2 linked regions of the Saccharomyces cerevisiae S288C genome follow. The gene in region 1 interacts genetically with each later gene. Each region holds a gene or a part of one and is shown on either strand. Other genes may lie near its edges.

Region 1 (3,760 bases):
TCTTTAGAGACATTACAATCGATAAGTCTCAAAACATTAGGATGCTTAGAACACTTCGATTGCAAAACAACCTCTTTTGTGATATCCTTGTCACTGAGTCCCATTTTTTTGCAAGTGGGAACATGAATGAATTTAACAGCTAGAATAATGGAGGGATCCATTTGAAGATGAGCATTTTTAACGCAGGCGAATGCGCCTTGGCCTACTGTATCTCCTAAAACAACATCCTTGATATGGGGTAAAGGTGACACCTGCGAGAGACTCATAGTAATACGTGCTGCCCATATACAGCAACTTATGATATACTCTTATGTTTGAAGCTGTAGTTGTTTTTATTTGCCATTCAATTATTAAAATGACATTTAAAGCCGCTCTTTATTAACTTCGGCAGGCCTCGTAGTAATGTTGAAAATTTAAAAGGGAGCTGGGTTGAGGTTGAAAGCACTTACAAAGAAGCAAGGATAGCTAAACCAAACAGCCGTAACCAAATGTTAGAAGCACTGTTTAGAGATTCTGTGGAAGAAGCAATAAACGATTCCATCAAGGAAGGCGTTGTGCTGGCCGTTTACAACACTGCACGGGATGACCAGTGGCTGAAAAGTTGGTTTAAAGGAGATGATGTCTCATTAGATACTTTAGCGGAACATAGTATTTGGTTGAGGTTGGTCAAAGACACTGAGCAGTTCCAGTTATTTGAGCAAGTATTTCCTAATGTAGTTGTACCCAGTATATACTTGATACGTGCTGGAAAGATAGAATTGATTATTCAAGGCGAGGATGACCGACATTGGGAGAAGTTGCTGGCGTGCATAGGCATCAAAGACAAAAAGGCTGGTGAGAGTTCGTCCAGGGAAACCAATCCAGGTTTGGCTAGAGAAGAAAAGTCATCCAGAGACGTCCATAGGAAAAATGCAAGAGAACGGATTGCTGAGACTACCTTAGAGATCCAACGTCGTGAACAACTGAAACAAAGAAAGCTGGCTGAGGAGGAAAGAGAAAGAATTATAAGACTTGTTAGGGCAGACCGTGCAGAAAGAAAAGCTCTTGATGAAACTCATCACAGAACCCTTGATGATGATAAGCCATTGGATGTTCATGATTACATAAAAGACGCACAAAAACTGCACAGCAGCAAATGCGTCTTGCAAATCAGGATGACTGATGGCAAGACTCTAAAACATGAGTTCAACTCGTCTGAAACATTAAATGACGTTAGAAAATGGGTGGACGTCAACAGGACAGATGGAGACTGCCCGTACTCATTCCACAGGGGCATTCCCAGAGTGACATTTAAGGATTCTGATGAATTGAAGACGCTAGAGACACTAGAACTAACTCCAAGGTCTGCATTATTACTTAAACCACTAGAAACTCAAAACTCGGGGCTATCTGTGACTGGGATGGAGGGACCAAGCCTTTTGGGCCGTCTTTATAAGGGATTCTCTACGTGGTGGCACAACGATAAAGATCCTGAAGTAACATCACAACGTGAGGAAACATCGAAGCCGAATCGTCACGAAGTGAGGTCTTCAACACCTTTATCTGGAGCTGCTTCGTCAAGCTGTTTCCAATACAACAATGTTCGGGAACCAGTTCAATCATCTGCTCATGCATCACCAATGCTGACACCTAGCGGAACCAGGTACCCATCGGAAACCAACCTTACTACGTCACGTTCTGTCTCGCCAAATGTTTTCCAATTTGTTAACAACGATCATCAAGAAGATCCTGAAGACCCAACAACCTTTAATGGTAATAATGTCCATTTAGAAAAGAAAAAGGACGAAGATAAAAAATAAGTAGTTAATGGCTTCAACTCCATTTATGACTAGTATTAGACGTGAATTTTTTTTGATTAGATTACATAAAAAAATATACAGTAATTTTATTTACATGGATTTTTGTTATAGCTGGTATTTTTATATCTTTTTTTCTGTTTCAAATGCATATAGAAAAATTGAAGAGTAAGTTTATATAAACACCTTAATTACGGGATTAAAAATAAAACAAGTTTACAACTATAATCACCGCAAAAGAACTCAGCGAAACAGGAGCAATGAGTGAGAAAGAAACAAATTACGTGGAAAATCTCCTTACGCAATTAGAAAATGAACTTAATGAAGATAACTTGCCTGAAGATATCAACACACTATTAAGGAAATGTTCTTTGAATCTTGTGACTGTTGTCTCCCTTCCAGATATGGATGTTAAACCACTACTGGCTACGATCAAGCGTTTTCTGACGTCTAACGTATCCTATGATTCATTGAATTACGATTACCTTTTGGACGTTGTGGACAAGCTTGTTCCCATGGCTGATTTTGACGATGTTCTAGAAGTTTATAGCGCGGAGGACTTAGTGAAGGCCCTTAGGTCAGAAATAGATCCATTAAAAGTAGCAGCATGTAGAGTCATTGAGAATTCGCAGCCAAAGGGTTTATTCGCGACCAGTAATATCATCGATATTCTATTGGATATTCTATTTGATGAGAAAGTGGAGAATGATAAGCTCATTACAGCAATCGAAAAAGCGTTGGAAAGGTTGAGTACAGATGAATTGATTAGGCGTCGATTATTTGATAATAATTTGCCATACCTGGTGAGCGTAAAGGGTAGAATGGAAACGGTTTCTTTTGTCAGATTAATTGACTTCTTGACTATTGAGTTTCAATTCATCAGCGGTCCTGAGTTCAAGGATATCATATTTTGCTTTACTAAAGAAGAGATACTGAAATCCGTTGAAGATATCCTCGTTTTCATCGAATTGGTTAATTATTATACTAAGTTTTTGCTGGAAATACGAAATCAAGATAAATACTGGGCTTTAAGACATGTAAAAAAAATACTGCCAGTATTTGCTCAACTTTTTGAAGACACGGAGAACTATCCTGATGTCAGGGCCTTTTCTACAAATTGTCTTTTACAGTTATTCGCAGAGGTGTCACGAATTGAGGAAGATGAATATTCTTTATTCAAGACTATGGACAAAGATTCTTTAAAAATTGGGTCCGAAGCAAAATTAATAACCGAGTGGTTGGAATTAATTAATCCGCAGTACTTGGTAAAATATCATAAAGATGTGGTCGAAAACTATTTTCACGTCAGTGGCTACAGCATTGGAATGTTGAGAAATCTTTCAGCAGATGAAGAATGTTTCAATGCTATAAGAAACAAGTTTAGTGCTGAGATTGTCTTAAGACTACCGTACTTAGAACAAATGCAAGTAGTAGAAACCTTGACGAGATACGAATACACTTCAAAATTTCTGCTCAATGAGATGCCAAAGGTGATGGGCAGCTTGATAGGTGATGGGAGCGCAGGTGCTATTATAGATCTTGAGACTGTGCATTATAGGAATTCTGCCTTGAGAAATTTACTGGACAAAGGTGAAGAAAAGTTAAGTGTATGGTATGAACCTTTATTGCGAGAATACTCCAAAGCAGTTAACGGAAAAAATTATTCCACAGGCAGTGAAACTAAGATTGCAGATTGCAGATGATTATGTTGCATAAGCGCAACTATAAAGGCGGCCTTGATTGTTTAATGTACTACCAGTATTGATTCCTGTCTGAATCAAAAACTAACCTTTTGGCGAGGTGGCCCATTCAGTTTTCTTCTCCATAAATTGTATAAATCAGTATGTAAGGTCTGGCAAGTACTTATAATTCACATTTCAATGTCTATGTAGCATGCATGATTTTTATTATAAAGAAAAACTATTCGCCTAAGCGCGTTCGTTTCTTTCCCACTAATTGCGAAC
Region 2 (3,128 bases), on another chromosome or scaffold:
CGTCTTTATCGCACTAAATTGAAGCCATTCATTTGTTCGCACCTATTTCCGCTTCAAAAATAGTATTTAAAAAAGAGACTATTTTGGTAAGGATAAGCTAAAATAGTGCCAAGAAAACGGCCAATGTAGAATATTGTCAAGACTATGAAAATGTATAAGTATATTTTGTCTATAGAATCATGTGGGTGTATATAATGTGTGCGCAAAGCATTTGGTGGGCTGTTCGATGCAAATCCTTTTAGTATTAGGAAAAGAGAGGCTTACCTTATTTGGTATATTTACAAGCTGTAATACCTAAAATATTAGCGCAGGCATATTCATAGCACACTCAATGTGTGGCGTGTGTGAATTTTAAGGCTTTAAATTACCATAGTGCTAATATTTTCTAGGCGGTTTCTGAAATACTCAAAGGACACTAGAGTGATTGCCGAGGCCGGAATGGTTCGTACTAGGTTAGTAGTAAATCCAGAATAAAATCCCTTTAGTCCCTCTTGTGCATAAGTTGCTTTAATGAGGGGGAACAGACGTCGTTGAATGGAATCTGGTATATCTGATTTCAGTTGCATTCTGGTTCGTAAAATTTCGTGCGGATATGTTACTGCTGATGCAATCATCTTAGAGACGGACGATGCCATGATCAACCGTTGCAAGTTGATGGAGTTGGTGTTGTTCTCCCGAGAATAGCAGTGAAATCTTACCTTCAAATCTTCGTATATAGGGAAATGGATAGCCACATGAAATAGCCCTAATAATGAGGGGACCAGCCCCGCATATAATGCTTTAAACCCTTCCTGATAAAATAGCTTTCTGAATGCATCGAAAGTGCCTTTGTAATGTGTGGGGTGCTCACCGAGGTTTGATTGCAGCATAAGTCTTGTCTTCACAACCCAGATTGGGTTGGTCAAGGTGGTAGATGCAGCGCCTGCCGTGATTGCAGCACATGACTGAGCAACAAAATCAAACTGTGGGAAGATGCCGTGAAAGAACTTTTTGCTGAATTCATACACGGAGAAGTATATCATCCAGGTTGGGAAGTAGCCCAGGACAATCGGTACCAGCCCTTTGTAGAGGCCCCGCGGGCCTTCGTCTCTTACTATAGTACTTAATGTCCCCATTATCCCCCTATAGTAGGGGTTCTCGAACCTAGTTTGTAGTCCTTGTGCTTGCAATCGCGTTTTGGCAACATCGAGGGGACATACTGCCACACCTGATAAGAATCCAGCAAATGCGCCGGAAAGAGCTGTGATCTGAGTTGAGGATAGTGGTACCCATTTCTTTCGCAGCGTTGTCCCTATAATTGACTCAGTACTGCTGTTCATCTTGATGGGCTCGATGATATCTGCTGAGGACAGTTGGGAGGAATGATCAGGGAATATCAATTGTTCTTCATGCAACAACAGTGGCTCTTCATGGTCTGCAGAGCAATACTGCTGCTCGGGCAGTAAACCGCAGTTGGGGACAGGATTATCAGTCTGTGTCATTGTGCTAAAGACTGCTGCCTTCAGTGTTGATCTCACTACTATTACGGTTGGCAGTCTGTAGTAGAGATTCTTTTCAGAATTCGATTAAGCACTAGGCCGGTGGGTAACCCCTAGAAATTGGTGCTATTGGACCATATTATGAGAGTCATTTAAAGGGCCCTTCGGGCTGGCTCACATAAAGGTTGGGATCTATGACCTTTATCAATACGGATCTTACTACTGGCTATTCATTAATTCTCGAAATTTGCTGTCCCTTGCGTGCGCCGTGGATTGTGTTCGATAAGGCTTACTTTATAACGGTTGGAATATTGGATAATAAAGGGAAAAAAAATGTTCAGCATTGAGAGATAGAAAAGTTATCACCAGAGTAAAAAGGAGCAAGAATTAGAATAAGAACGAACTACAATGGAGGAAGAAGAATTAAGTAAATTGTTGGCCAATGTTAAGATAGATCCGAGCCTAACATCAAGAATTAGTCAAATAGACAGCTTCAAACTGTCGGAATTGATGGTTCTAAAGACAGATATTGAGACACAACTAGAGGCGTATTTCAGTGTGCTTGAGCAGCAAGGCATCGGCATGGACTCTGCGTTGGTGACGCCAGACGGGTATCCTCGTTCGGATGTCGATGTATTGCAAGTCACTATGATCAGAAAGAATGTTAATATGCTGAAGAATGATTTAAATCACCTTTTGCAAAGATCACACGTCTTACTAAACCAGCACTTTGATAATATGAACGTTAAGTCAAACCAAGATGCAAGAAGGAATAACGACGATCAAGCTATTCAGTATACCATCCCTTTTGCATTTATCAGTGAGGTAGTACCCGGTAGCCCTTCAGATAAAGCAGACATAAAGGTTGATGATAAGCTGATTTCTATTGGTAATGTGCATGCGGCAAACCACTCTAAACTTCAAAACATTCAGATGGTTGTAATGAAAAATGAAGACAGGCCACTTCCCGTCCTTCTCTTGAGAGAAGGGCAAATCCTAAAGACATCGCTAACACCTTCGAGAAACTGGAATGGTAGAGGTCTTTTGGGTTGTAGGATACAAGAGCTATAATCTTCGTCATGTACTAAAAAAAACCAATCCAGTTATTACTATTACTTTTTATACTATCTGCATATTACCTACGTTATCTAACTTGTGATTCATTCAAGCTGTACAGCACTTTATATATATATATGTAGCTGCTTCTTAAAAATTATTTGCTGCTATTTTTAACCACCATGTAATGTTGAAGTAAAAGAGATGATGTCACCGTCTTCCAATATGTAGTCTTTTTCGCCTTCGAGCTCCCAATCGGTGTCGTTGATTAATGTGATGATACCGGGTCTTATAGAATCATCTTCGATGAAGATACTAACGTCATTAGGGTTATTGATCATAGTAGATACAATGTGGTCAATCAAATCGCCCACTGTGACAGGATCTTCTTTGTCCATCTTAATTTTATGTACTCTTTGTTTTCCAAAAATAGCATCAAGTCCACCTAGAAACTCCACTTTCACGTTTACCATCCCGATTTTGCTATTAACCTATCTCGTTTTAGTATCAGAAATCAGTATTGTTTTCTGCTTTGGGAATTTTTGAGCTCTCCATACCGTCTGCCAGTAGTATTTCATTAGGTCGATGCGATGC

Evidence for each region. Genes that interact genetically often act in the same process or in processes that back each other up.
Region 2: mutations in HSM3 (region 1) and NAS2 impair growth when combined (synthetic growth defect), as found in Saccharomyces cerevisiae (4 studies listed by BioGRID, with this or other methods).

What each region holds. Positions count from the first base shown.
Region 1 is NC_001134.8:746,100-749,859, reverse strand, and holds HSM3 (Hsm3p), read left to right. Parts: upstream 1-2,056; coding exon 2,057-3,499; downstream 3,500-3,760. Other genes in the region: serine/threonine protein kinase CHK1, read right to left, coding at 1-266; UBX7 (Ubx7p), read left to right, coding at 489-1,799; EFM2 (S-adenosylmethionine-dependent methyltransferase), read right to left, coding at 3,749-3,760. UniProt on the Saccharomyces cerevisiae protein: Involved in DNA mismatch repair in slow-growing cells. Acts as a chaperone during the assembly of the 26S proteasome, specifically of the base subcomplex of the 19S regulatory complex (RC).
Region 2 is NC_001141.2:342,415-345,542, reverse strand, and holds NAS2 (Nas2p), read left to right. Parts: upstream 1-1,886; coding exon 1,887-2,549; downstream 2,550-3,128. Other genes in the region: YIA6 (NAD+ transporter), read right to left, coding at 360-1,481; ubiquitin-related modifier URM1, read right to left, coding at 2,708-3,007. UniProt on the Saccharomyces cerevisiae protein: Acts as a chaperone during the assembly of the 26S proteasome, specifically of the base subcomplex of the 19S regulatory complex (RC).